Xenopus tropicalis: one gene and its partners. The protein of the gene in region 4 interacts with the protein of the main gene of each other region in a pairwise test. Links are inferred from orthologs where the notes say so. Each region holds a gene or a part of one and is shown on either strand. Other genes may lie near its edges. The genes, in order: chic2, vwc2l, spry1, otx1, spry2 and comp.

Evidence for each region.
Region 1: the proteins of otx1 (region 4) and chic2 interact in binary tests that used the Homo sapiens proteins (3 or more experiments, as listed by UniProt). The two-hybrid records come from large-scale screens. The link is inferred for Xenopus tropicalis from reciprocal best matches to the Homo sapiens genes OTX1 and CHIC2.
Region 2: the proteins of otx1 (region 4) and vwc2l interact in binary tests that used the Homo sapiens proteins (3 or more experiments, as listed by UniProt). The two-hybrid records come from large-scale screens. The link is inferred for Xenopus tropicalis from reciprocal best matches to the Homo sapiens genes OTX1 and VWC2L.
Region 3: the proteins of otx1 (region 4) and spry1 interact in binary tests that used the Homo sapiens proteins (3 or more experiments, as listed by UniProt). The two-hybrid records come from large-scale screens. The link is inferred for Xenopus tropicalis from reciprocal best matches to the Homo sapiens genes OTX1 and SPRY1.
Region 5: the proteins of otx1 (region 4) and spry2 interact in binary tests that used the Homo sapiens proteins (3 or more experiments, as listed by UniProt). The two-hybrid records come from large-scale screens. The link is inferred for Xenopus tropicalis from reciprocal best matches to the Homo sapiens genes OTX1 and SPRY2.
Region 6: the proteins of otx1 (region 4) and comp interact in binary tests that used the Homo sapiens proteins (3 or more experiments, as listed by UniProt). The two-hybrid records come from large-scale screens. The link is inferred for Xenopus tropicalis from reciprocal best matches to the Homo sapiens genes OTX1 and COMP.

Annotation. Positions count from the first base shown.
Region 1 is NC_030677.2:39,929,592-39,934,478, reverse strand, and holds part of chic2 (cysteine-rich hydrophobic domain-containing protein 2), read left to right. Parts: intron 1-1,875; coding exon 1,876-1,930; intron 1,931-2,018; coding exon 2,019-2,174; intron 2,175-4,887.
Region 2 is NC_030685.2:58,211,881-58,217,363, reverse strand, and holds the start of vwc2l (von Willebrand factor C domain-containing protein 2-like), read right to left. Parts: upstream 3,817-5,483; 5' UTR 1,887-3,816; intron 1-1,886. Other genes in the region: spag16 (sperm-associated antigen 16 protein), read right to left, coding at 3,977-4,152.
Region 3 is NC_030677.2:65,663,188-65,668,603, forward strand, and holds the start of spry1 (protein sprouty homolog 1), read right to left. Parts: upstream 3,208-5,416; 5' UTR 2,666-3,207; coding exon of another isoform or gene 2,652-2,665; intron 2,632-2,651; exon of another isoform or gene 1,671-2,631; intron 679-1,670; coding exon of another isoform or gene 624-678; coding exon 1-623. UniProt on the Homo sapiens protein: Inhibits fibroblast growth factor (FGF)-induced retinal lens fiber differentiation, probably by inhibiting FGF-mediated phosphorylation of ERK1/2. Inhibits TGFB-induced epithelial-to-mesenchymal transition in lens epithelial cells.
Region 4 is NC_030681.2:32,916,210-32,921,811, forward strand, and holds the start of otx1 (homeobox protein OTX1), read right to left. Parts: upstream 3,194-5,602; 5' UTR 3,089-3,193; intron 2,799-3,088; exon of another isoform or gene 2,700-2,798; intron 1,774-2,699; exon of another isoform or gene 1,537-1,773; intron 1,069-1,536; 5' UTR 939-1,068; coding exon 842-938; intron 1-841. UniProt on the Homo sapiens protein: Probably plays a role in the development of the brain and the sense organs. Can bind to the BCD target sequence (BTS): 5'-TCTAATCCC-3'.
Region 5 is NC_030678.2:125,075,166-125,078,709, forward strand, and holds the end of spry2 (protein sprouty homolog 2), read left to right. Parts: intron 1-942; 5' UTR 943-996; coding exon 997-1,941; 3' UTR 1,942-2,547; downstream 2,548-3,544.
Region 6 is NC_030677.2:107,117,452-107,122,886, forward strand, and holds the start of comp (cartilage oligomeric matrix protein), read right to left. Parts: upstream 3,620-5,435; 5' UTR 3,566-3,619; coding exon 3,496-3,565; intron 1-3,495. UniProt on the Homo sapiens protein: Plays a role in the structural integrity of cartilage via its interaction with other extracellular matrix proteins such as the collagens and fibronectin.

The DNA of each region.
Region 1 (4,887 bases), on a different chromosome or scaffold from region 4:
ATATTGAGCCTTGAGTGCTTTCAACTGACCTCATGTGGATAATTTTTTGGTGAGCACCCGGTGTCTGGCTTTGGAGTGGTGAGTGCCGTCAATGGAACAGATATATAATATATATAGAATTTTGGTTTTTTTTCAAAACGCAATAGTTAATTGAGCCTCTCCAGCAGAATCCTGCATTGAAAACTGTTTTTTAAAAGCACAGATTTTTTTGATATTTTCATATAGGGCTAGCGGTGTTCTTCATTTCCCAGAATGCCACAGCCATGTGACCTGTGCTCTGATAAACTTCAGTCACACTTTACTGCTGAGCTGCAAGTTGGAGTGATATAACCCCCTCCCAGCAGCCGATCAGCAGAACAATGGGAAGGGAGCAAGATAGCAGCTTCCTGACACCTGTATTGCTTAAAGTGGTAGATATCAGAATAGCACTCAATAGTTGTGGATAACCTTGAAGGCATACAATATAACTGTTATAGGGCTGCTAAACCTTTGGGTTGGTCCAGTAAGTTCATTATATATATATATATATATATATATATATATATTATTTCTAGCCATAAATTTTTTTTTTTTTTTTTACTTTAACGAAAACTTGTGCATAGATTATTTTTATGCTAAAAGCACTGATGGCATTTTAATGCTGCATACTTTCTTGGGAAGATCATCTCATAGGCGCCATTATCTCAATTGTCTATAATGAGGAGGTATTTCAAATTATTTCTCGCATTCTTTCAACTTGTTCTTCCCAAGAGTACATACAGGTGGCAACCAAATGGCAGACGTGCTGTTAGACTTAATGTATCAAACATATCTTAGATGACAAAAAAAGACTCTCATCCAAACATTAGTGTACATCCTTGTAATACATTTCTATTTTTGCTGCAGTGCAAGTACAGGTATGGGACCTGTTATCCAGAATACTCAGGACCTGGGGTTTCCGGATAAGGGGTCTTTTCATACCTTGGATCTCCATATCTTAAGTCTACTAAAAATAATTTAAGCTTTAAATAAACCCAATAGGATTGTTTTCCCTCCAATAAGGATTAATTATATCTTAGTTGGGATCAAGTACAAGGTACTGTTTTATTATTAAAGAGAAAAAAGAAATCATTTTTAAAAATTAGAATTATTTGCTTATAATGGAGTCTATGGGAAATGGCCTTTCTATAATAAGGAACTTTCTGGATAACGGGTTTCTGGATAACTGATCCCATACCTGTACTTTATTGATCAGAATATAGTTTCTAGACATACCATATTCCTGTAGTGCAGAGGTTGTTGGGCGTATTTGGCCAGGCCCTCCTATTAATATAACTGACCGCTAAGCTGTACTTCCAGGCATACCCAAATCTGTTGCTAACTGGCTTTCAGGCTGGCCCCACTAAGCACACTTTGACCACCAAAGGAAGGCAGCACCACAGTTTGGGAAAAGTTGTCAGAGTAGTTAAGCTTACCAACTCCCCTTTTTTTAAAAAGTCTTCTATCTGCTATGTGTCACATGGATCTAATCAATATGTTGTCTGCCGGTGGGATGGCATTTCGGGGAAATTTGTTGCGGGCGACTAATCTCCCTGCGTGCCAGAGCCCTTATGCCAAGTTGAGGTAGCCTGAATATCCAGAAAATAACCACCCTGTTCACTTTGGTTTGCAAAAATGAAATGGTATAAAATATTGGTCGAAAACTGTAATGACCCTACCCCTTAACATATAACAAAAATGATGGTTAACCAGTTAAACACTGATGACGAAGTAATGATCTTAATCATGAAATCAGATTTCAGTATTTACATTTTGGCCACAATTAAAATGTTTACATTTTAATGTATTAGTTGAAGTACAGCAGTATGATCTCTAATGATTTTCTTTTTTCTTTAGTTTTGGTCTTAGCAACAAGTTTGAAGCAGAATTCCCTTCTTCCTTAACTGGCAAGGTATGTGTCAAAAACAAAGTTTAAAGACAAACAATTTGCTTTCTTTAATACTGTTCTCATACTTAGTAACATTTTCCCCCCTTTCCAGGTAGCACCTGAAGAATTTAAATCTAGTATTAACAGAGTCAACAGTTGTCTTAAGAAGAATCTTCCAATTAATGTCCGCTGGTTACTTTGTGGATGCCTTTGCTGTTGCTGTACATTGGGCTGCAGTATGTGGCCAGTTGTTTGTCTAAGTAAAAGAGTAAGTTGACCAATTCTTGGCTTCTTGATTTTGTCTTACAGCTTAATCATGTAATGTGCTACTGTGTTCTTATTAATAATTCTCTTATTCCACAAGGCTTTGTTGTAATATGCTTTTAAAGAGGGCATATTTCTCTTCATACCTATCTTCAATGTATTTTCTTTCATACCCAAAATTTGCTTATAGCTGATGTACTTTCCTTTTCTTTATATTTGTTATTACAATCTCATACTCCTAGCTTGTGGTGCCACTGAGAGGCAGTGCATATTACCCCTAATTACAATTAGTAAATGGGTTAAATAGCTTTTAGTTAAAAGGTGTTACATTTCTGCAGAGATGATTCCTGTAATGAGGTTGGGAAAAAAGGTTACGAACCATTGTGCACATCTTATTTTGAATTTTACTAGAGCTAACACCATTTGGGTCTTTGTAGAAGTATACATTTTGCTTATTTATAATTTCAAGAGAATTAACTTATATGCAATATGGCTCATATGAAGATTTCCACTAGGTATATAGAGTTCTGGCAGCCTTACTTAATTAGCTTTCCACTAATGTGTTATTCACTTTCTGTAACACTTAAAACGTGTTCTCTTAGGGGACAATGGATGCTGCATGTTTGGGCAGGTAAAATGTATGGTGGACAAAACACTCCATATCTCTTATGTATAAATGGCTGTTCCTTTTACATGTGGGTCTAAGCAATTGCCATTTAAATAAATAAGGAAGCATTTCCAGATGATTTATTGTCTGCCCCCAGGCTATTAAACACTTGTGCAACAATATGTGGTGGAATGCAGGGGAACACAGGGCAAAATGCCCATGTGTAAGGGCCCTTAAGGGAGGCCTTAACTCTTTACAAAGCTTTCCCATGTGGCTGGTAATCTCTAAGGTAGATGGTTTAAAACATAATTACAGATTCAAGGAAGTTCACGTATGAGAATACTGCTTATAAGAACTGTCAGCCACCTTGCTGTTATGTTAAACCAGAAATTTATGTTAAACTTAACTTTTATTATCTTATAATCAAGAGTAAATGGGAACTATTAGAAACTCAGAAGCCCATATTGTGCTGTATAATTAGATTTTTAGCATTTTTTTTTGTAAAGTAAAAGTAAGATACACACACATTTGTCTTAACAGTTTGACCTCCCAGTAAATACCATTTTTTTTTCTTCACCTATAAAGACTTTTTGTTATACTTCCCCTTTAACATTTTAAGTGCAACCAAAGAGCCACCCAGAAATGTAGAATTTGTTGCAGGAAGTCTGATACTAATAAGTGGGCATCATGGATTCTACATTTCCAGGTGCCTAATCAACATATTGGTTTCATGGCAGCGGGTGTAATAAATCAAACATCCCACCATATCACCATGAGGGATAAGCAACTTCGTATTTGGCTTCTTTTTTGTAATTTCTTATGTTTTGAATTATTTGCCCTTCAGCTCATTGCCCCTTTAATCTGGAATTTTAAATGCTGTTTTCCGAGGTCAGTGGCCCTAGCTTAGCATTCAGTATAAAGCTTAATATTTGTCTTTTTATTATGGTTTTTTTCATATAATTTCTTAGAAAATTCCATACTGTTGAGTAGCACTACTGCTAAGGGCATTGAATTGGTCTGTGCTAAAAGTTAATTTTAAGTTTCCCTTTGCCTACTTGACGTACAGTTTCACATAAGGAAAGCCGGGAACTATTTTTGCCTTTGAGTTAGGAAAGCATTTGCTTTGCATGTGATAATGATAATCACTTCAGATGAAATATGTATAACCATGAATTTTAAATGAGATTTCTGTCCACTGGCCATTGGGGGTATCTATTCAACAGACAAAAAAGAATAGTCTTTTAATGGATAAAGTGAGTAACTAGTTTAAATCTATACTTCTCCAAACCATTAATAAAAGCCCTATACAAAAACAGGCTTAGACCCCCATAGTAACTCCTGTGTTGCAAGCTTGATTAATAGGCCTGGAGGATAACTGAATTCTTTTTATATTGTTGAATGTGACCTAGAGAAGAGAAAGGGATAAACAAACCTTCTTTTAACTTAAATTACAGTTATAAACCACTGAAAAATTTTCAAGCAATGTGTAGTAGAAAGCTGCTTGGAATTACACATTTGTTCATTATGTAACACATTTTTTGGGTTGTGGAACCCCTTTCTACACTAGGTTCAAATCTTCTTTCATGAGTCCATATTTGTTTCACTCCCAAGTTACACAAGCAGAAGGATGCATTGCAGTCTTAGGCATCTAGCTGGTTGGCTATACGCATTAGCAAGAATCTTGATATTCTATATTTGCAGCTATGGATCGAAAAAGCACTACATGTTTTTCAGAGCCACATTTGGCAAGCAGTGTGTATCTGGATATTTGATACAGTTAGAGGCCCTCCACCCAAAAAACACTTTTTTGCTTAGTTCAATAAAATATAATTCTTAGAAACATTATCTCAATATGCATTGATTTTAAGATATCAAGGATATTCATGTTATTTGTGTAATTGCTGTTAGAGACTGTGTTTGTTTATCCTTTTATTCAGGGTTTGACTAGGTTTGATCAGGCCCGGATTTGTGAAGAGTCCACAAACTTTTAGGGGTTGCATGCCACCTATATTTTGCTCACATGGAGCACAGGGGACGGGACACGCATAAATCTTCAGTATGTCCTTTCTCCAGTGCTCCGTATGTGAGCTAAACGATTGCATATGCACTC
Region 2 (5,483 bases), on a different chromosome or scaffold from region 4:
AAATTTTACTAAAATTTAGTAAAGATGAAAAGATTTACAGTCACATCTGTGTGATTTGTATGCTTTTCTAGTTTTTAATGCTTCTAATTCTGTCATCAATGTACCATATCAATGGGAAATATAGTTTAACAATTAAGGGGTTTGTGTGAAGAAAGAAAAAAGTGTCCTGTGAATTGTGTAGCCTACAAACTTGTCAATGAACAAAGTAAGGGGATTCCAACAACGTGAGATGCCTGAATAAAGGGGTAGGTGTTATGCTAACATTTTTAAATGTGACCAATAATTATTAAGAGATATTTTACAACACTCCAGGTGGTGATTGCTATAACTCAGCATATCTGGATGAACAGCTGGGTGGAACCCTAAGCTATAGTTTATAATAACTGCTAATTAAATGGCCCTATCTCTAATGTGCATGTAATAGCTGAAGGGCATGTTGCATAATCAATGAGAAGTGCAAATACAGCAGAACACAGCAATGGGGCAACATGATTTTTCCACTGATATCCAAGGCATGTATTCAGATATTAAATAGCAATGATGAGTGTGCCACAAAATTGTTTTTTTTTTTTTTACAAACAAATAAGTGGGGCCTATTTACTAAGCTTGCACTTAATGAGATTCATCCTCATGGTGTCACATGGTGCAAGACTAAGTGACTTAATAAGACCTAACTATCCGACCCAGAGTATTACAGAGTTTAGAATGATTCTAGATTTTTATTTTTTTTTTAAGTAGAAAATAGAAGTAGAAAAGTTTCACATTGGCTCAAGTGTAACTGTTTAGGGTGTTGTATCACTGAATGCAGAGAGAGTCCCCTCTGGTAAATCCACTGTTCCACATAAGTATTGCAGTGGCTCAATGCAAAACCCATAAGGACTGTGTTTAAAAGAGTAAAAGGCAGAGTCAACTTAAAATAGTGCAACAAAGCCCACATCCTGCTTGTATATAAATATACAGCTTGTATGATGAATGACACAATTACAAACAGCTTTATTACAAGTTTCCAAAGGGTTAATGGTTGCTGCAACAAACTGATCCCCCACCCCATGCTCCCTGCCTCACAAACACACATTCTGGCATGCTGCATAGAACTGTAAATACTGGGTGTGAATGGCTCAGTCTGGTTGCAAATGAAAATCAACCTTTTAATAGATGGACAGGTCAGGAAAAATAGGAACAGTTTTAAATCTTCCCTGAGCCAGGCTTATAGATAAGGTGTAAAACTGAGAGCAACAGCCGCATGGCTGGCTAAAATGAATGCTACACTGACACTGCAGTTTTCTTGTTGCCTTCACAGAGAGGAGACTGTAGATATTACAGCGGCATGTTTGGCATTAAGCAATTTTGTTAAGTGATTTGTAAGGTGCCTCTGCATTTTACAGGGTATTGAAATGAAAGCTGTGTGCCTGGGAGCCCTGGAAATTCCTTATCATTTGAATCAGCTTCTATAATCCTCCCTAAGAATGCTACAGGTTACCTATACTTTATTATTCATAGAAACCGGCACGGGAAGCATACAACCAGCATGCATTATAGCTGCTGCCAAAGTAACGTATATATTACAACCTTCTTTAGAGTGAATATGTACAAGATCAGATGTATGGGGGCTTGTAGTGAAATAGCTGGAGAAGTAATGAGGGCCCTGTTCACAAGAGCTTACAATCTGGGGTATGGAACTGGGATGTTGGAGAAATAGATAACCTGTGTGTTGGGTCTTGGTAAGTTAAAGACTGATTTTAATTCTGTGAATATGTATATAACCAGCTGTAAATGGATACAAAAGCATTTTGATGATGTGGAGGTACAGATATAATTACTCCAGCAGGCAGGTTGTTACATTGAGAGGTGCAATGACTGATTGCAAACATTAGCACTTCCCTTACCTCAAAGGGGTTAATCCTGAAGATTAGCAGGACAACCTTGTGCCAGTAGAACACAGTCCATATTTATCCCATCCTAGGTGTCAGAAGGGCCCATTTTAGGACGAATTAAAAGAGCGTCCTTTCAGTTTCCCATCCATGGCACAGGAGCTTTGGTAAGGATACCGTATTGCCACCAGGTTTCCTAACTCTGCACAGATTGGTTTACTGATATGCAGCAATAACCCCCAAACACACTGAGATTAATCCACAGCTCATTGTGACCTTCTGGTAGTTGCACTGGAGTCCCAACTGCAATATATCCAGTGTGCTTGGGTTCCCCTCTGTCAGTGGCAGCTGAGGAGGCGGTGTGTGTGTATGTGCATGTGTATATTATGGTTTCAGCAGCACAAACAGCAACAGCATGAAGCTCAGCCTATGCCCAGTCTGGAACACCCTCCGTACCATGGCAATATGTTGCTTCAGTGGGAGGCTGCAGTCACAAAAGTAGCCAGAGGAAAGAAAGGAAGGCAAATTCATAACTTTTTACATCTCAGGACACGGCGGGCGATCACCCTGCAGTGTGGAAAGACAATAAATAGAACCAACATTTTGCTTCAGAACCATAGTCAGTTCAGCACCACATGGAGATGATAATAAGAAGGGGCAAATAACTCCCCAGAATGGTTAGTTCCGAACTAGCTTCACCAGCAAGAGGAGATCTGATGCTCCTTGGACACATCAATGCTGTTCATCTACACAGCGCTTGCCTGTAGCACCACGGACATAGTGCTCTCTATTCCGCACCACGGACAGCAGCAATGCGCCTTATGCCACAGGCTGTTCAGCACCACAGACAGCGCCTCGGAGCTCCGCAAAGAACTGATCTCAGTCGCACTGAGCGCTGCCCATCGAGACGCGGCACCAACTGCGTTCAGCACCACGGACAGCGGCTCCGAGCTGTTCCCAGGGAGAGTCGCACAGCACAATGGCACACAGCGCCCCTGCAACAGCGACTCACAACTACAGCAGCAGCGCAACGTTCCCTCCACTGCACGGCAGGACGCAGCACTGCTCCAGCCCCCAGCAAAAGAGAGGCGTTTAGGGGAGACTGCTGATGGAATGAAGAACAGGATCTCCTAACGTGGGCTGGGGCAGACTCTTCCCCCTTCCCCTCAGTTAACTATTTGTGTAACGTTGGCTATAATAGTGACGGTGCTTAACTAGTATCCACTCAACTACTGCTGGCATCATCCACTAGTAGATAAAGGTCGCTGGGGATGCTGGGATTTTGAATTGAACAGCAGCTTGAGTGTCCCAAGTTAGACCTTATTTACAACACTCACTTGTTTATAGCGTCAGTTTAAACAGGCCATAGTAAATAGGTCCGGAACTTATACACACTGATGTATAGAACCGACATTTTAGAGCCCTGCTCTAAATTCAGGTAGTACATAAAATTATTTGTGCAGTTTTTTTCAATGATCTATTAATAGTTCATGAGCCATTGACCCCTATTGCCATTTTAGTCACCAATGTAAATGTATTATTTTAGTGCTTTGCTCTGCAAGTGGGTATACCGACAGAAACATTTGCCCTTGAATATGAAAAGCCCTTAGAGCCAGAGCCTGCATTTTGGCTACACGAAAGGCCGTGGAGAATTCATTACCCAGCGTTTATTATTATGCTATTCCAAGGTCAGAGTATTTACTGAAGCCGCCGGCACTTTACTGATATGGTTTAAATACTGTTTAAGGGCTTAGTATACCTCTGGGGACTAAGGAGAAGATGCTGAGAATTCCTCTTTGATACCATAGGAACGCCCAGTTTCCAGACTTAGTTCATCCATAATCATCCTCCAATCTGTGATATCATTGCTAAAAGCATCACTCGCGTTATGATAGCGTTAAGGTGCGGCAATTGCAATACAACGTGTAGTAAAGCATGGAAAGGTGTCAGAGAATGCTGCACTTAATTGCTGTAATGGATACATATATTAAAATAAAGCACAGGCCACTCCAACTGCAAAATATTTATTCAGGCTCAAGAAATATTCGTTCCATGAAATTAATTTTGTTGCTTTCTGGGCGCAAACTACTTCATACGGGTCTTCTTCAGGACCAGATTCGGACTGTACCGTCGGAGCCCCCAGAGATCAAGTAATCCCCATTGTGGCTGAATATTACACACTGAACGTCATCCTCATGTCCGTCCAAGCTCTCCAGCTGCCCGGATGGAAGAGCCAACAGCTTGACTGAGCCGTCATTGCTAGCGAGGGAAACCGACTGACCTGCGGAGAGAAGGAGAGCGGAGAGGTGAGCTTCGTGCTGAGGCTGCTGCTGCTGCTGGGAATAATGATTGCTCCGCTGATGATGTGCACTGAATTAATGCTTTTATTGGAAATAACTTCAATGCAATCGTGGTAAATCAATTTAAATAAGATGCCTTGTCCAAGCCAGCAAATAAACTCATAAATCCTAGCCAAGGACAGCTTTTACCTGTTTGGTGCAATTAACCCTTGGAAGCAAAAATACTTTAGGGCTCAACTACTACGTTTAACCCATTCTTTAACCCATTCTAAATAATTAGCAATTGAGGTAGTTATAAATGATCAAATTTGGTTTTAAAGCAATGGTTTGATATATGTTAACCCCTTCAGATTGACTTCATGATAGTAAATGAGTTTGTGCTTCATTATTAAGGGTTAAATGTTACCAGTAAAGACAAAACATATCCAGATTATTTAGTACAAGATACATATTTTTCATAAGTCCTATCTTTTTTTTTTAAGTTATAGACTGGACTAATGGGGGCTACTAGTTATGTCTGTGCCACATAAACACCTATATGATATACAGTATATGTATGTATGGGATCTGTTATCCATACAGCTCTGAATAATGGAAGTCCATCTCCCAGACTCAATTTTAAGGATATAATTCTAATTTCTAAAGATGATTTCCATTGTTCTCTGTAATAATTAAACAAACATAATAGCTTGCACTTGATTGTAAATAAACAGCAAGAATTCATAATGGTGTAAAAACAATCATATTGGGTTTATTTAAACCCTACATTATTTTTAGAAAACTAATTACAGATTACAGAAAGCCATATTCAATAAACCTCAGATCCCAAGGACTCTGAATAGAGAAAGAATAGGTTCCAAGGACTCTGAATAGAGAGGGAATAGAGAGGGAATAGAGAGAGTAAAAATGGCAGCATTCACTGATTCACTGTATCTGTTCCAGCAGTTCATTTCTAAGGTATTTTAATGCTGGTTGTACTTAAAGTGCCCCAAGTGGCCAGAAAACATAATGGGGCTCCTGCAAGGTTTTGGCAGTTTCTGAATTCTCAGGGGAAGCAGCCAAACAGGAAGAGAGCATGTAAGAGCAGCCCATATAGCAAACGTCCAGGTGATGGAAAAGACAAAAATGGCCCTAAACTTGATGGATCCAATAGTTGTGCAGCATTTTGATCATCTGCCTTCCAGTGCAGCATTATAAACACCAACATTTCATGGTTGTGCACAAAGAACCTGCTAAGAATATGTTAGTATTCCTGATTAATAAAATAAAAAAACTCAACATTTTCCGATGGAATAACCCAACAATGCCCTAC
Region 3 (5,416 bases), on a different chromosome or scaffold from region 4:
TGCCTGTTACAAGCCAGGCACGAAGGCAGGGTCCTTGGAGCAGTGCAGTCTCCACATTTACACTTCCCACACTGTTCACAGATAAACCGGTGTTGTGAATAGTCCATTTTTATTGAGCTCTTTAGGTCCTCAGCAGGCAAAGCACTTGCCTTAGGCTGCATTCGCACTATCCTTTCAGTCCTGTGACCAGAGCCTGATCTGGGTGGTGGGCATTGCCCCAAGAGTTCTTGCTCAGAGGAAGCACTATTTGTGCTACCAGAACTGGCGGCACTACCTGTGCTAGTAGACCTGCTGAGCCCAGGAGCCCTTCCATTAGGTGGGTGTCCCGTGTGAGCCCAGTGAGTGGGCCTGTGCTCATTGTTATTATTCACATTGATTGGTATGATTTCATGAGTCCGTTCCTGCTTAATGTGCCTTGGTACAGTTTTAGGTCCAGGCTTTTTTACCATGGATGGGCCTTCTGTGTACTCATTCCTGCTCCGAAGAGCTTTGATCTGATCCAAGGACAAGATAGCCGCTGGCTGAACTTCTCGTTCATATTCCAACCGTTGCCGGCTGTCCAAAGATGGCTGCTGTATCACAACTAATGAACCACCAATGCCATGTTGACTTTGTAGCTCCATCTGTAGTGATCTTGATTTCTGGCATTCAACGTGAACTTGGCATGCATCTGAAAACCTGCCGATCAAAACACACAACAAAAGATAAATAATTTAGAACGGAGTTTTGGAGATAATATAAGATACAAATTCAAATCATCACAGCAAAAAATGTCAGATGACAGTTACAAGATAAACTACAAGCAAGGCAGATCACTGCATTTCCCCCCCATATCTAATATACTCCCATTACAATTTAATAAATCATGTTTTGCCATGTATGAAAGTCATTCTGCTTCTGCATGATGCAACTGGTTCAAGAAAAACACAAAGCCTCCAGATACCGTAGCACTTCAAGAAGTCACAGAATGGATTTCTCGTTTAGCTACTATACATCTGAACAAAGTGATTACTTGGTAATGATAACCTATCCTATGACTGGAAATGATATATTTCCAAAAGAGAAGACTTTTACCCCAGTAATAACTTTAAAAGAAATTCACCATACTAAAAGGGCTTCAGTCTTTCAGCGTATAATTCTGATAAAGGGGCTCTATCTTAATTTATTCTTGTTTAAAGCAAATTTAACTCCCAGAGTTTTGCCATGGAGAAATAAATAAATGTGATGCCTCCCTGTCAAATAATATTTACCTAAGGGCAGTTCTTGGTGACCAAAACAAAGGAAGAAAGGAGAGAAATAAGAGACAAACTAACTAACTAATCAGTCTGTGCTGCAAGTTCTGACCTCCTACTTATCTGTTCCAGTGATTCCCTAGGCACAAGTTTTTTAAGGCAAGCTGAGAAAATGATCTTTAAAGCTGAATATATATTCCCAAGCCCAGATGAGTGGCAGATGCTAAAAAGAGGGGTGATACCAGCTGCACCCAACCTCCAGAGCCAGGCAGTGCAAAGGTGCATGCCCACACTGCCCTGGCACACTAACACATCCTACAGCCCATTGGTGTCACACCTCCAGCTGCACAAGGCAAGCAAGCTAAAACGCTCTCACTGAAGAAAAGAAAGAAAATCGCACGATCTGAGGCTTAGAAAATGCCTATAAAATAACTGTACCGTGTGTGCCAAATGGATAACTAATCGTGCGACAATCGGAAGAGACGGAATGGGCAAATTATGGAGATGGATTGGGGTGGGGAGGGCTACAGAGAGAGAATCCGAATGATCAGAGAGCGAGAGACGGGAAAGGAAGGAAAAAGTTATGAATGAAAAACAAACCGTGACTGTGAGAAGGAGGAGGAGGAGAGGCGCTGATTGCCGCAGGGGGGCGGACTTTCCGCACATTCCAACCGCAGCACCCTTTCCCATCGGCTCCAGCTCGGAGCCCCAGAACAAGGCACCCCTTACGGGTTTCAGCACCCCATACCAGGTGTGCCAGCGTTCCCACATAGAGATTTCTCTGCGAATCTGTTTTATCGCCTCTTCACTGCCCCTACACTCACTCTTCTGGCAGTAAAGTGGCATCGGATCGATTTAACCAATCAAAGAATTAACATAAATAGCCCCTACCCTACACTAGTCCGACTACCTGCACCTACCACTAGGTGTCCCCATCCTGCGTTTGAAAGAAGTAGGGGCACCTAGCTCTAGGTCTGCGTAAACAGTTTATTTACACGTTTCTGTGCCAGGGACACCCAACTCGAATTGAAGCAACTTCAACCCTGCAGGCCCCTACTCTGACCCATGGCCTGCTGATATGTTACACTGCAGCAATATGTAGGCGTAAAGCAGCTGGGGGGTATCAAAACTGCATCCCTCCAGCTGTTGTAGAACAACAACTGCAAGTGTGGGTTGTAGGTGCCATTCTGAGAGCTGCAGTTCAGCACAGCCGCAGGTTGGTTGTGCATCCTTCTGAAAAGATATTACACGATTGGATATTTGTATCCAAGGGGCACATAAGATAGTGGGTCATGGGGCAAATACACTCTATCCCTCACTTGGGCAAGCCTGCTGGCATATTGGGAGTTTCAGTAAAAGATCCTTGCCTTATGGCCTTGCACCAGGAGCAGAGTATTATCCAGATATACAGACACTTACCTCTGTGCAAGCATGCACCAAGCAATAACACGTCCAACTCCAGGCTGCGGCAAATCCGATCGGAACTGGGGGGCTTAAGCATGGGACATGTCTCCAGTAAATCCCCAGGGCTGGCACTACTGTATCTGATTGTAGCAGCTTTCCCTCCGGGGGCCACAGTAATTAGGGCCAGGGTAGTCCTTGGAAACAAATAAATCCACAAACGCCAAGGTGGGCAGGAAAGGCAATTGCACCTCTGTCAGGGGTAGGAGCGATCCAGCAGGCAGGCACCGTAGGCTCCGTGTTGCTGCATGCGATGGGAGGAGGCACAAGGACTACAACACTTTTTCCTTATAATAACTCCTTTATTTCAGCCACAAGTAAACTCCAGCGATTCTTTTCTTATCGCAAAACGCTAACGTTATCAAGAGTCCTTTAAACAGAAAGCCGCGGCCCCACGCATATATTCCTCGGGTCGGTGTGCGAGCGCCGCTTAAATCCTCAGCACGGATAGGAAATCCACATGAGAAGCGATGGGCAGAGAATAAATGGTGATGAATGAGGGTGTCACCCTCGCAGCGATCACTCACAGCTCCACAGGGAACAACCTTCCACGCCTTGCGCTCTCCTGCCTCTGTATGAATGGATTCCTGGAACGCTGGGTTTGTTCCACAGCGGCCTTCTCATTGGCTCTCCGGAATAGTGTAGGGGAAAAAACACCAAACCTTCAGCTGCCGTGGCGGCGCTGATTGGATTAGAAGTGGGAGGGGCGGGGCAGTGGCGGCTGCGGTAGCTCAGAGCGAAATCGCTGCAAGGTGGATTTTAGCGGAGATTTCACGTGCGTCAGGTCGCTGTCACTGTTGTTCACCCGGGCGAAAAATGTGCCCACTTATGGGGTGATGGGTAGGCTTTTAGATTGGAACTCGCCCCAAACAGCCCTGTAATGGCCCTGTCAGCAGTACTTTGCGTGACTTCGGTCATTTACTAACAGCGCAGGGTGGCACTTACAAATCAAGGGACCCAAGGTCTGCAGGAAGGCTGGGGCAATAACTTGAAGGGCAGTCAGTAATAGTACTCGAAGGTTCGTCATCCCTGAATTAATTTTTAATTAATTGTTTTTTTTTTCCCAGAGGCCCCTTGAGATTTTGGGGATCCAGTGCACATAGCATTTTCAAACTCAATAGGCTGTAGTTTGTAATTTAATTTCTATGAATTCTTTATTAGCTCCTGGAGTTTTATTCTCAAGAAACTGTAGCGCAATACCATTATAGATCGGCTTAGTGGCAGCAACGCATTTTGCGCCTCTGTGATAAGGCTGAATAAATGCAAAATTGCAGGAAAGTAGTAAGGGCTGTGTATAAGGTATATAAGGGCCGTGTATAAGGTATATAAGGGCCGTGCATAAGGTATATAAGGGCCGTGTATAAGGTATATAAGGGCCGTGCATAAGGTATATAAGGGCCGTGTATAAGGTATATAAGGGACGTGTATAAGGTATATAAGGGCCGTGTATAAGGTATATAAGGGCCGTGCATAAGGTATATAAGGGCTTTGTATAAGGTATATAAGGGACGTGTATAAGGTATATAAGGGCCGTGTATAAGGTATATAAGGGCTGTGTATAAGGTACATAAGGGCTGTGTATAGGGGCGCAGAGAGTTAATGAGAGGGGCGCGCATAGCTTGCGTGTGTACCCGGGGAGTGTTGGATGCGCAGCTCCGCGCTGATGTGCCTGCACTTGTCTCCTGTGTGATCTTGGCAGCTTCACGTTTATTTCCTTAGGGAAGGAAGAACTGTGACCTGTCCCCCCCAGGGGGGAGCTTGAGTTTCCTGCAAATACACATTCCTTCCTGGGATTTCATAGTAGTAGGTCCGTCCTACCATTGCCACTACCATCCCTCCGCCCATTCCCATTGGCATGACTGCTTTGATGTATGGCCAGGACTGAAAGGGTCAACGGATACAGTCTAACTACATTGTATTTCTAGAATTGTGTGTGTGTGTGTGTGTATGTATGTATGTATATAAATGTATAGCAGTGTTGTTAATGCAATACGGCTGCTTGTTGCAATTTATATAAGGCTAGTTAGTAGCAGTATCTTTCCCAGCAACTGTATTTGGTCATGGAACTAGTTGGTGATTTATAATATCCTTATAGCTTACAATAGGGGGTACATACTTTGTGTTGTATGTATGTATGTATGTATGCGTGTGTGTGTGTATATAGATATATAAAGTGAAATAAACACTTATATATATATATATATATATATGTATCCACACACATTTGTTTGCAGAGAAGCAGCTGTATCCTTTGCATTGTTGTTTGAGTTCCTAGAGACAGACAGACAAGCTTCCCATCCCCCCTTTATAGCCTGGGGCTATGTGGGAGAGCTGCCTGCCATTATCATTTCCTAAAATCAAAGCACCCAATGCAAACTAACCCTATTGCCACCAACGGTGTTTGCACGGAAGGGGGCCCAGGCTGCTAATTGGAGACCCCCCTCCCTCCACTAAGGAAGTTGTAGCGCAGTGAGAGCGCTCTTTGCATTTCTAGCTGCAGCCTGCAGTGCTTCTGTAGTTTATACACAAAGCGGTGGAACGGGTTCCTGGCCTTTGCCTCTAAGGGGAGATCAGAGAGATGTGATGGGAGTGCTTATCTGCACACAGGACAGGGGGGTTATTACTTGCGACCCACCAGCTGTTGTTGTTCTACAGTGGATGCTGGGAACTGTAGTCGCATAACGATAATCGCTGCCAGAGATTAGCTCAGTAGGTTCCTAGTT
Region 4 (5,602 bases):
AGCCAGAGCAAAACGCATGTGTGAAAGTTAGTCCCCCCCCATTCTCTGGGTGCCGAACAAATAAATACGAGGTTTCCTTGCACCACTAATTGTTATAAATGTTTATACATATATGTATAAAATATTATATTTTATAAAATCGAATAGAATTTGCGCTGCACTTCTGGGCGAACCTACAGGGAATATTCCTGCCATACAGCTGGAAGTCTGTAGTGCAACTGCAGCCCGCAACCACTCACTGGCACAGGATTCCCAGCACATATGGGCAGAAAACGTTTAAACAGGATTGTGCGATAAAGGAAAGGTTTGGGTGTTTGTTATGCGACTGAGACCTCCCCAATCACATCAGAAAGTGCAGTTTCCCGAGGAGCACCCCCAGGCCTTTCCTTGTGTGGCCACTGACTTCTGATCCTCTTACAATTGCCTGGAAGCCAAAGCTTTAGCCAAAATTAAGTGACTCTTCCGCGGCCTTTAATTAGCACTGGGCCCTGGTGGCTCTATGGAATTAGCATTGCACTGTGGGGAAATCCCGGGTACAGGGTTGTGTCTCTTCAATAAACACATCGCCCTTCTATACACTTCTTGCCCACAACCAGACCCGTACCTGCCTCCCCAAGTACCCCGATCCTCATTATTTACTGTGCCAATACAAACAGCTGCTACTAAATATCTGCAACTCTTACTAGCCATATTTCCACATTTGTTACAATATGCCAGATAAAGCCTGTAACAAATATACAGTCTAACAATTAATACAGTTGTAACTAATATACAGTCGGTAACAAAATATGCGACTTTTAGCCAGTTACATATTGTTGTCTGTCGATTTTTGGGGGCTTACCTGGGTATCCCACAGACGGATGCAATAAGTCCATAGCAGGCCCCGTTAGCCCCAAGCCATTCATGCCATAGGGGGGCTGTTTGAGGTATGACATCATGCTCAAGGCTGGACAGAAACCCCCCAAAGTATCCACAAAGGCAACTCCTTCCCAATCCCCCGACGGGAGACACAATCGGGTTCTCTCTTTCCTTCCCCGCACCAGGAGACTCTGCCGGGTTCTGCAGTAACTAAAACAGGAGATAAATCAGACGATTTCCTTTTGGTTAATACATTTACACGATGAATACAGTAAGTATAAATAATTCAGTAAAAATCGCTCAGCGCCCCGAAAGCTGCACAATTTACAACTCCTTTTATTTCTCACTGTACCTCAGATTAAAGTGAATATTGCGCTTTATTAGTTAAAAGTTAATAAATCGCACATAGCGCAGAGCTGCAGAGAGAACAGGCACACAAACAGAAACCCGTGCACCCAATGGATCTCTGTAGTTTGGCTCTTCGGCTTATTCTCGGCATATACCTTGATGGACATTCACCTCTAACAATCGCCTTTATATAAAATCGCAGAAAGCGGCGGGACAACAGACTAAACCATAGGTGCTGCTGTAAAAGGAGTTTTCAGACAAAAGAAATAATACCGATCGGATGGGATATTATTCATTATAATTATCAGACTGACTAACAGCAAGGCCTACTTGTGCTCACTGTGCGCAGTTCTATTCAGTCAGATGCAGAATCGCAGGAAAAAAGAAGCACACAAAGGTGTGAGCTGCCAAACTGATCAATTCCCAGTGCTGATTGCAGCGACTCATTATACATATGCGCAATTTTATGAGATTTAAGGCGGCCTAATTTGTTTTGTAAGCAAACTTTATTTTTTTGCAGATGGGATCTATTGATAGGCTAATGAAGTTTCTTTCTGCACAAGCTGGCCAATCTACAATCCCCCCCCCCAGTTAGCGCTAATTAATGGAGATCCCTGTACAAATACCTCATTAACATAACTTACTTGCACTGTGCGGCCGGGCAGCCCCAGAATGGGGGTAACTAGGAGGCGGCTGGGGGGTCACTACAATAACGCTTTCCCAGGTATATTGTACAACTTAATGTGTGCCGGGGCAAGAGGAGTGTAATACACACACGTTTATATACTGACACACAAACTTCTATTTGAATTAAAGCCATAAGTGACACAAACAGGGAGACAAGTCGCAACCCGCTAATAACACACAGGAATGGGACCAGAAATAAGTTTAGAGAATTGAGTGGAACCCAAGTAGGATAGAGTGCGCCACTTTGCGCCCAGTCACCTGGCCGCTGCCTCTGTACATCCCTGTGAGGTTGGCCGGGGGGGAGCCACAGGACTGGCCGGGGGGGAGCCACAGGACTGGCCGGGGGGGAGCCACAGGACTGGCCGGGGGGGAGCCACAGGACTGGCCGGGGGGGAGCCACAGGACTGGCCGGGGGGGAGCCACAGGACTGGCCGGGGGGGAGCCACAGGACAAGCAAGTGGAGGGCAGAGTTCGGCAGTGCCTGTCAGGCTGGTGCCAGCAGGGTTGGGTTCGGCCCATGGGGATGGGTTCTGGCAGCGCTGAGGTGCAGTTGTATAATCCCGGGAAGGAGGAGGAGACGGAAAACAAACAAACTTTGCAGGGGGAAGAGAGAACGATCCGCACAGCAAACTGCACATCCCACGATCTGATACAATTTAGGGGGAGAGTCAGGCCTCAGCCCAACGCTCAGCTCAGGCAAAGGCAAGAGTGGGAGCTGCCAGGCCGCCTGCCTTTATACACTCCCTGGCCCACAACCAGTCACAACCTGGGATTGATTAGATAAAATCCTTCTCAGAGGCACTTACAGAATCAGTCAAATTCTCCATTGCAGTAAAACTCTAAGCAGGGAAAGGGGCTGCTGGGAGCTGTAGGGAGAGGGGCTGCTGGGAGCTGTAGGGAAAGGGGCTGCTGGGAGCTGTAGGGAGAGGGGCTGCTGGGAGCTGTAGGGAGAGGGGCTGCTGGGAGCTGTAGGGAAAGGGGCTGCTGGGAGCTGTAGGGAAAGGGGCTGCTGGGAGCTGTAGGGAAAGGGGCTGCTGGGAGCTGTAGGGAAAGGCTCACTGGCGGCGCAGGTTGCGCTCCCACCCAGATGCCAAACTAAGTGAAGTTCTGGTGCCAAAAGGGCAGAGTAAAGGGTGAGGATTTGAGTGCAACGGGAGCCCAGCCCAGGGAAATGGGGATAAATCAAGTGATTTACCTGTCGGAAGAGTCGCACTGTCGCGCCGGGCGCTTTAGCTGATTGGAAATGAGAACTGATGAAGATTGATCACCCTTCTCTGGCCCTACCCCTTGTAAGTGAGCGATGGGCGGCTACGTAAGCGAACTCCCCGGCCAATCCGGCGCTGAGCATTGAAAGACCGACACGCTTCGTAGCCAATAACAAGGCAGACGAAGAGTTTTCTAACTCACGCCCCTTTGCCTTGCAGAGAACAAGCCCAGGCTCCTGGCTCTGAGCGGAGGGAAGAGCAGTGACACAGAGTAAAGCGGAGAGTGTTTGTTATTAGTACATAGATAAGAATTAACCAAACAAATCCCAGGCGCAAACTCTCTGCTGCTCTTCCTATCCAATTTATAATGATACTAATATTAATAACAGAAATCATGTGATGCTGATAACTTTTCCAGCTCTTTTGCCCCTATGCCCATAGCAAGAAGGTGTCGGGGTAGAAAGGGAACGTTTTTATGGCGATATTTTAAAGTTTGAAAATAATATATTTCATGCTAGAATTGATTTATGAGACGAATCTGAATTTCCTACTTGCTGTATTCTTGCTATTCCTTATCTGCTGGAAAACAAGGTTATTGGAGGCAAATGATTCTTGTTGTAAGTAATATGATTCGATCATTCCTGCGCCTGGTAATTGGGCAGATTTCTACATAAAATATTGCAATTCCCATCCAAACACAGAATTAGGTCGTGCGATATAGTAAATGCTACCGTGTTTCCTCAGATAACACTTATCTAATTATCTGTTATCTCACAAAATATATCCGCTACAAATTGAGATTCTAAACTATAATAAAAAGTGATCTTATTTGCAAATAAATCTTTTATCCATCGTTAGACAATGTGTTGCTTTCGTTTTGTTTTTACAAATCCCCAGCGACTGAATCGATACAAAATCGCAGGCACCTTTTTCTGTTACTTAAACTATTATTTATTATTCTTTTAAGGTAAAACGGTAGCTTCGCCATTTAGTCGCAGTTCAAATAATTAGCAACAAGTGCACCAGGAAGATTAATTTAGTACAAAGTCCGTTTGCCAGCTACAAATGAAATATGAATTATTCTTGTGGGTCATTTGATGAGTGCGACGTCGTGCTGCTGGAGTTTGGGGCCCAGGCTAAACCTTTATTTATTTACCTTTATTGTGCACAGAGAAAACAAGAGCTCCAAATGCTCCTCATAATATAAATAAATACTAAAAAAAACTAGGGGAAACTTTAAATCCAGTGACTGGCACAGGAAGGGTTAAAGGAAGCCTTTTGTTGTGTCCCCAAATATCTAAAAACCCCACATCTCGGGCTGATTGAGCAGAAGCTGAATGCGAGTTGATGTTCAAAGGGAGTCACCGGCACACAAGGAATATGACATTGTTTTGTGTGGGGACAGGGTCAGGGGGGACCCTTCAAAGGTGCAGTGGGGACTGGGGAGCGGATAATACAGTCTTTCTCAAGTTCCCCAAAGTCATACCCCTTTTATATCGCTATTCTTTGATTCCTACTCACTTACATTAAAGGCACCGCCGCCAATGACTCCTCATCAATCCGAAATTATTCAATTTATTAGATATTCATTAGAGTTTGCCAGTTCCAAAGTAAATGAGATGTGTACATTATATTTATTTGACACCGCAATTCTAAAATCAAATATTAAACGCGCACATATATACCTATATATAATAAAAACCTAATATATATAAATATCTCTGTATAAGTATCTGTATCTATATCCGCAGACAAGGCAGATATCAGGACGGCGTGTTTATGCCTGGGATCTTACCACTAGCTCTATACAAGTGAGCGGGTATCAAGTGGCAAAAGAACCTTTTTGTAATAAGAGTATTTTGTCTAATCCCAAATTGCAGGCGAATTTTCTTAATGCCTCAACCCATAAACCTCGGATTAGGGAAGTTTAAAAACGAGGGGGGAGCAGAAGGGAGAAACACAAAAGTTTAGTGTGTGTGAAGCAGTGCGAATTGTAGCAGGATTGGTGGCGGCTGCTTAGCTGGATACATAAGGGCTAGATTAATGCAGGACAAGGACACAGCAAAAGGGCATGTGCCTGCAATGAGTTGTGTATTTGTACAGTCTCCTTATGCAGCAGAAAAATGTTTATTCCCACTGCGCTATTTATGATGTGGGTTGGAAGCCATTGCGCCTTTGCGCATCTTCTCAGTGCAGAGATCCCGCTGGCGCTCGGAATTTTCTGGGAGATGATGATCCAGTAGATCGGCTCAGCTTCTCATCTGCAGGCATGAGCGATTCTCAAAAATCTGCAGCTCTCCCCAGGGGCTCTTTCATGTGCCTGGGCCTGGGATGCGGATCATGGCTCATGAAGTTTCCAAATTGAAGGGGCAGAGCCCCCGACTTTCTTTGCTTTTGTCCTTGTTGGTTGGGGGCTATTTATGCGACACATAATTGTGTTTGTGAGCTCCAGCAGAGAGAAAGGTAAGGGACCTGCTTCTGCGACTCAGCTGGGAGTGGGGATG
Region 5 (3,544 bases), on a different chromosome or scaffold from region 4:
GACTTCTGCAGATAGTGTAGTTATAAATGACCTGGGTAATTTAATGACAGACTGATGGGAGAATTCTATACACCTACTTACAAAAAGGCCCCTGGATAGTGTTTGTACAGCAATCTTCTCAATCCATTCATTGTGCAATAACTAAAGGGAGACTGCGCTGTTTGTGGGGTAGCTCTTCACTTAAACAGGCGAATTCTAAAGATCTCTGAAATTTAAAAGAGCTCTTCACCCAGCTAGGGTAGCATCCTGTGCGGGAGTCAATGAATAATGTGCATTATTCAGGCTATCCTCACCTAGTTCGGCAGATCCTTTTGCAAATCTATCAAAGCCGTCAAGACTAAAAAGGCAAAGTGCTGTAAAATGCAGGTACTATTTGTTATGCTAATAGTAAAGTGTCCTGCCCATTGTAATTCTTAGTGTAGTGACCTGAAAGAAATGTATGAAGGGAGTGTAGTCAAAATGCACGTGTTCCTTGCAGCTGGTTTCCTGTTATTTTAATTGCTGTGTATGCTGTCCTTTTTAAGAAGAACGTGATTTCCACGCACTTGCTGTAACATGCAGTGTTCTTAAGATATGAGAGTTGCCTTCAGTACTTGTCTGTCATGCTTTTAGTAAAATGTAGCTGGAACTTTGCACGCTCACGAAGTAGACTATTACTTATACAACTGCTTTATATTCATGGGGTTGTACTACAGCTACTTAGTAATTCACTATGATGCAACTTGCCCTGGAAGAGTAAAATGCAGGTGATAGGTTCAGAACATCAACTTTTATCTAATGCGTCTATATTTTTTTTGTGTATATATTAAGTATATTTATTAATAAAGCTTAGAAGTATTATGTAAATTCGATTTTGAAACATGATATGTAACTTATTTGTGTATTAAATGCAGCATTTTAACCTTCTGTTTACTTATATATTTTTTTTTTTTCCTCTTTCAGCAGGATTTCAGATGTGTTCTCAGCCCACAGGTGTGAAAACTCTTCAGAGTACTGATGGAGACGAGAGTACAAAATGGCAACGTATCCCAGCCTTTGCTCCCGGCTCGGCGTGACAGTGAAAGATTACATAGTGATGCTGACCCACGTGAAATTCTGACACAACAAGTTCATGTTTTGTCTTTGGAACAAATAAGAGCCATAAGAAACACTAATGAATACACAGAAGGGCCTACAGTGGCTCCACGCCCTGTGATTAAATCTGCTCCACGACAGACTACGCCACACAAAAATGAAAGAATACATGTGGTAAATGAGCAGCGACCTTTTGTCAGGAGTCCACTTCCACCAATGCATTCCTTGTCTCAGGCACCTTTGTCACGATCAGTCGGTACAGTCACTTCATCTTGCCGGAGCAATACGAGGACAAGTAGCAGTTCTACAGAGCAAAGGCTTCTTGTGCCACCATTTACATCTTCAGGGTTGGTTGCAGACCGAATAATAAGAGTACAACCCAAACCTGAGCTGAAATCAGACATTTTAAAGCCCTCTAGTAAAGAGGAATTGGGCTTACATTCATTAAGGTGTGAGGACTGTGGGAAATGTAAGTGCCAAGAATGCACTTATCCAAGGACTCTCCCATCTTGTTGGATTTGTGACAAGCAGTGCCTTTGCTCAGCCCAGGAAGTTGTTGACTATGGAACCTGTGCTTGCTGTGTGAAGTGCCTATTCTATCACTGTTCAAATGATGACGAGGATAATTGTGCAGACAACCCATGTTCTTGCAGTCAGTCCCACTGCTGCACTCGATGGTCTGCCATTGGTGTCATGGCCTTGTTCTTGCCTTGTTTGTGGTGTTACCTTCCAGCCAAGGGTTGCCTTAAATTGTGCCAGGGCTGTTACGACCGCACAAATAGACCCGGATGTCGCTGCAAAAGATCAAACACAGTTTGCCTTAAAGTTCCACACCTTCAGCCTAGGAACTTAGAAAAACCAACATAGCACAGGTGAACGGACGTTTATAAAGAACATAACTTCCTTTTAACACTCAAATGCAACCATCTTGTTACATTTAGGAAAAAAAGCTTTGGGATAGGATTGCCTGTTTGCAGTGAAATACTTATGCATCAACGGATTTAGGCTTAATAGAGAACCTCTAATAAAGCTTACAGTAGGATTTGGTGTTCTGTGACGACTATTGTGTACGCTATTGCAGCACAGACACTCCTATGTAACATTGTATTGTTTGTGAATAGTACTTGGAACATTTGTAAAATTTGCAAATGGCTTTTTTTTGTCAGAGATATTATGTTATATTTTTGTACATAAACCATATTTACAACTGTGAAAAAAGTGCCATTTTTTGATGGCATGGTCACAAAATTTACTAATGTACATTCAAAAGAATGTGAATCAATCAGTATGGTTAGATTGTCCTTCGCTTTCTGGAACTTTTAATATTACCAGACTTCTATTCTTTGGATCTTATGTATATTGTACAGTTACACTGTAAGATTCAGCCTTTATTTTCTAATGTTTCAATATTGTTTAGTGTAAAGTATATTTATTTGAAGTTTTATTATTTTATAAAGAGAAATATTTATTTTATGAAGCATCTTACAAATGTCTCCCCTTTTTATGATGTCAGTTTCTGCAAATTGGGGGTGACTGAGACATATGTTCACTATAAAATAGAAATATATTAACGTCTGAAAACAAAATGTGGCCAGTACTCTTTCTTCTTTAGACTGAAACAGTCGGGTGACTTTCTGTAAGACCTAAATTAAAAGGTATAATATTGGACCAAGCATTGCATTACACACAGGTTTTATTGACATTGGGTCGCTGATAAAAACATGGCCCCCTGTTAGGCCAGATGCATTGGGAGTATCAAAAACAACATAAATATGAAAGCAGATGACCACATCTGAGAATAAGTGCACTCTGTTAGCATTTTGGTCAGTGTAAGCTGGCTTTAAAAATTAGCTTGCTAGCAGACAGTCATACAAGTAGTGGCAAAAAAATCACCTGTGTGACATTGTGCTTAGGCCTTATGCATTTACCAGCTACTACAAATTGTTCAGGTAGAATTGACAGCAACACTCAACATACTCATTCAGGCAGTACCCTTGGCATAGAATTGGACATGAACACAATGCCCACAAAAAGCTGTTGTGGATCCAAATATTCCAGAGAAAATGGGTTTGCATAAAACATGAGACCTTAGTTTCATAATGCAGTATATTTCATAACCAGTGATATTTCCCATGAATTATAGCTGGAAAACTAGATTTTTCATTGGTGTATTTGCGTTTACCCTCCCACTCATTCAGTGTAGTTGTGCTGAGGCTAATAGGTTTTTAACATCACATTCAATAAAAAATATTTCAGCACTCTAAGCTGAAGGAGTTGGCGTAGTGTGATTTGATTAGCGTTAGGTTGCAATTTCTTGGTATATTTCAATGAGAAGTTTTTGTCTTTGCACTTATGTGGAGAAGAGGAAAGGAAAGCAATATTTTGGACAAAAATCTGCCATTTACCAAGCCATGCAAAGGCGTGACATTTTGCTAATGGTAAGTAACCGCTTAGGAATGTTACCAAAGTG
Region 6 (5,435 bases), on a different chromosome or scaffold from region 4:
AGAATGTTGCTCCAGAAAACACTTGCAGCTGCATTTATTTTTAGGCTTTAGTTCTTCATCCTGTTTTACACAGAAGCTTGGTACATTTTAATCCATGTTGCAAACTGTCCTGTAGTAGAACAGCAGTAACATTAAGAATCCACTCACCTCTCCCCCCCCCCAGCTGAAGTAGGTGCTCTTTTTTTTGGTAGAAAATGGTACAAGGGCGGTTGGGGACCCCTGCCCTAAATCATTACCTATGTCTCAACTGACAGGACTCTGCAGGGCACTTCTGGAGAATTTTGTATACTATTTCAACACTGCAATAATGTCTCTTATACACAATGACATATAAAAATGGTATAAGGACCCCATGTGCTAGCTCCTTATATGGCCAAGTACATGTAAATGGACCTCCTATTCACTTTAAGGGCTTGTATTCTTAATGATGGCCAAAATATAAAGTTACAGCTGAATTGTCAGCTCTTTACTTCATGGACTCAAATACCATTCCATTTAAAATAATGGAAGCTTCTAAATAACCCAGTATAGACTAATGCCAGGCCAAGTTTAGGCAGGGGACTTGCCAAAAAACGCCTTATGTCTCTGCAGTAAATAGCAGGTCAAGCATCCACCTGTTATGGTGCACATGTGGTAAAAATATGTAAAGACCTGATTATAGACATTCTTTTGCAGTTGTTATAGGGAATATATATTTCAAATATGCTTTCTGCTTATGTCATGCCTTTGGAAAGCCATTACATGATGTTTTAGTGGAAACTGAGTGCAGTTTTTGAATGATTGAAGGTGACTTGTGATAGGGTATTCAAAAACAATGTGGTTAATGTTTTCCATGAATGGAGTTTTAATGGAAACCATTAGTCTTTGACTTTTATTTATCATTTAAGTTTTAACCAGGAGCCCACATTGGCAATAATGTGTGGTGATGGTGTAAATTATTTTCAAAAGGACAGTCATAGTCATAACATAAACCCTAAGCATTAAAGGTGGTTATATAAAAATCCACCCTCTAATATTTACTTTATATTTACACATTTCCACTAAACTGCCACATCTGACATAAGCAGATCTCATGCCAAGCCAAATGAAATGTCAGTGTAGGCTTTCTGAAAATACTGTCTACTATGAGGGGCTTTTTTCCACTTGAATGTAGAACAGTGCCCATCAGTGTCGCCTTTAACACTGGTGCCCACAAACAGTTGGGGAGCGCATATTTAGTCTTGTATGTATACACATAATTCAGTAATTGCTGGGATCCAAAGCAAATGTTTTGATCTCATGGCCTTCAAAGATGATGAAATACTGGTGCTACAAAGCAATCCTGTACATAGAAATATTAACCCAGCAGTTCATTAAAGCACAAGGAAACTGCAGTTCACTCTAGGGTGCTAAACTTCTTCTCCAGTGAATACAATCTTTAGCCCTGGACCCCAGGTCAATGCTTTTCTTTACTTTAAAATGTACTGACCTGAGGTATATGCCTAAAGGTGGCCATACACATACCAATTTTGATCTTTCCTGCACCCATTGATTTTGTTTAGTTATAATATTGGTGCCATCTCATTGCATTGTACCTGATTCTGAGCTTTCAGAAAGAGCCAGTGCTACACATTAGAACTGCTTTCAGGTAACCTATTGTTTCTTTTACCCCTATGTAACTGGAGGAGTCCCAAGCCGGACTTGAATTTTTTACTATTTAGTGCTATTCTGATATCTACCACTTTTACTAATACAGGTGTTAGGTAGCTGCAATCTTGCTAACTTCCCATTGTTCTACTAAAAGGAAGGGGTGATATCACTCCAACATGCAGCGCAATAGTAAAGAGTGATTGAATTATTTCAGAGCACAAGTCACATGACTGTTGCACCCTGAGAAATGAAGAATATGGCTAGCCCTGTGTGAAAACCCTGTTTGTGCTTTTAAAAAGCAGATTTCAATGCAGGATTCTGCTGGAGAAGCTCTATTGAATAATGCATTTTGAAAAAAAAAAAACTGATTTTCCCATGACAGTATTCCTTTAATGTGCATTGTCCAGTAGTATGACAGGGAGTTTTGCAGCAAGAAATTAAATGTTTAAAGCAGCACACTAATAAATCAAATATATCTCATAAAACTATAAAGTATATAAAGTCTACCTGACAATTATTTATGAGACATGCCATTTGGCTCCATGTTTATAGCAAAACATGTTCTTCTTTAACATGTATTGTCCTTGACCTGTGCCTGCCTTATCTGATGCAGGCAGTAGAATTGCTGCAGTTCATTTATAAAGCATAAATACAGTTTGTAGCGCTGTACAGTACATTGATTAAGAGATAATGCAAACAAAAACCCAAACTGAAACTTAAGGATGGAAAGCCCTCTCTGCGAGAACTCGTATTATGAACATTTAACTGAAGGCTGAATACACCTATTGTGTATACCCATTACAAAGAAATTGTTTGAATTCTAATTCTGCATTCACAAACATCACAAGGCCACATTTTCTAGAAATATGTAATTGTGTGTTTTTTGTCTGAGGAAAAGCCTGAACTGTGTTTTTCATAATTGTATTTGGTAGAATAAAGGGGGCAAAAAGTTCACTCAGGACAGAAAGACATATATACATTTCTAAAGACTCACTTTTGATACAAAATGCTATTATTCCAAATATTTTCCTGTTTTTGATGATTTTGTATTACTTTATGGGGTTGAGGTTGAGGGCAACCTGTTACATAGCAGATGAAGTTAAAAAACGAGACAGATGTCCACCAGCCTTTACCTGCCTAACTGACAGCTGATTTGGAAGAAGGTGAAAACAGCCCTCCCTGAAACCATCTCCAGTATGTCTAGTGGAGGAAAAGTTTCTCCATGATTTAAAAGGGAAAATCAGACCAGCCCCTGTATCAACTTTGTATAAGAACAAATACCTGTAATTGTGTGGTCTTAAATTTGCTTAAAGAGCATTCAGACTTTCAAAGCTACCTAATGTATTTGCCAGTACAGCCACTTCATTGAATAAAAATTCACAGGGTAAAAACATTTCTTTGGACCTTAAAATGTACTGTTCTTTTCTTTTAATGAAGGGATTTCCTGGTGTCCTCTGGAAATATCTACTTGTGAATATTAATATTGTACTGTTCCCTTATATATTTATACATCTTGGATGTATCCCCTGCTAAGCATGATTTAAAGTTGGTGGTGAAGCTAATAATGGCATCTATGTCTACATTTTAAAGGTGTCATAAATGTGGACGTGAAAAGAGTTTAGAAATATTATTCAGTCTTGCAAAATTAGGCTTTTATCCTTACTTAACATAAGTAAATATATTAAAGAAAATGTGGTTTAACACTTAATTATACATATTTAAGCATCATATGCTTTATAGACACTTTAATTAAAGCAACAAATCTAAACATTTGCATTACTACTTCTCTGTACACTCATTAAGTCATATTGTGTAATCTTTTTATGTGCAATTTATTATTAGCTAAATGCATTGTATGCCACATACCTCTTCCAGATAACTGCTGGCATGATCCAAAGAAAATACAGAAAGATGAGAGGAGCGCTACTGAGAGCATGGTGTGATGTTCTCTTCGCTCTGTGACTGAAACTCCTGCCCAAAGTCTCCTTGCTTCTGTTTATGAAGTTACTTTCATTCCACTGCTGAAATTTCTTGGATGGAAGTCAAGTTTTGGCTACAACACATAAAACACTAACCCAACCTTGATTTTCTTTCCCCTTCATATTACTTTTTCCAAAGTGTTTGAGATAATCTCCAGGGGTTCTAACAACTTATCTCTGTATAATTGTAGAAACTGTACAAATAACATGCTAATAAAAGATTGTTCTCATATTAAACTTATTCAGTGCAAACATCGATTGCTTTGGTCCATAACTTGCCTTTGGCCTTCAAAATAGGTTTGCATGTCAGATGTACATCAAAAGATGAGCTGGGTAGAGTAGAGCCCTTAAAGTCATGTGACTTTATAACCCTGGACTAATGGAATTGCTGATTTTTTGTTCACAAATGATATATCTTTTTTACTTTACTCAAAAACAGAACTATATAAATTATGATTTAAGTTTGTTTTGGCTTTGAGCTAAATCTTTTTTGGATTTGGATTTTGTCTTAACCCAAAATTGTGGATTCTCTGCATCCCTAAATTTTGTTTTCATTCTAAACATTAGCAGTTGATATCACTTGATGTAATAGATAATAACATTCTCAGCTTTGAAAATGTAATGATTTTTGACGTTTTGGAGTTTGAAATGTCTGTAGAATGTGGCATGGGCACTTTTTATTTAGAACAGGCGATGGAACTGGCGGTGCCTGCATATGATGTAGTGCATTCAGAAAATATGCCCTCTTCCAAGATGAAATGCACCCAATATAACTTTTTATATTTTGTTTAAAAAAGCAGTTGTGTAAAACAAACTTTGTTTTGATAAAACACAACAGAAATTTCAATGGATAGTTTGTGGTCATCTATCTAACTCAGGGGTGGGCAAACTTTTTGGCTCACGGGCCACATTTACTCACCCCCGGACCGGGCCAGGGCGGGCATGGCCAGGCCAGCGTTACGCCCCCTTCGTCTCTTTAATTCCGGCCCGCCAATGACACCAAGTCTCGCGTGATGAGACTTGGCGTCGTCGGTGGGTCGGATTAAAAAGGCCAAGGGGCCGGATGTGGCCCGCGGGCCGTAGTTTGCCCACCCCTGATCTAACTGGAGTGAAATGGTAGAAAAAGATCCATCTATGCATAGGGAATTCTTGAAAGTAACCTTTTTTTCTTGTGCTTCTGAATCACATACTCATACAGCATATTTGGAACTCATATATCATCCAAGCCGGCCAGGCACCCTAGGCAACTCAGCCTGCCGCCTTGCCCTCCCTGTCACCGTACACACACAGTGATGACGCACGGGGTGGCCGACGATAGAGTTAAAGTGACCTGTGGTGGTGGTGAGACAGTGGCCTGGACTAAAGGGGATGTTCACCGAGTCCAACTTGTATTCTGTCCAAAACAGGAAGTTAATACTGAACTGGTTACTGCACATGCTCTCCTCCTTCATTTGCATCTCATTGATCAGATTGGCTGAACCTTACAAGCCAATAGTATTAAAATATGTAAATAAGCAGGAGAGGGAAGGCATGGGTAGAACCAGTTTAGTGTCAAGTTCTTGTTGTGGGCAGAATGCAAGTTGGAGTCTGTGATCCCTTCCAGACAGAGAGGAGAGCAAAGGAGAAAGAGTTTTAGCAGTGCGGGTCCTGGTCTGTAGCTACAAAACTGCCTATTTTAAATAATAAATATGATCTATATGTTTTTTTTCTGACAGGGCTCTTTAAATTCATGCTAAAGGTGAACATCCCCTTTAAGCAGACAGAAGAGGTAAAGGCTTAGCACCCCCTATTGTTGCAGTGTGTTTCTATTCTGCTTACCCCTAGATA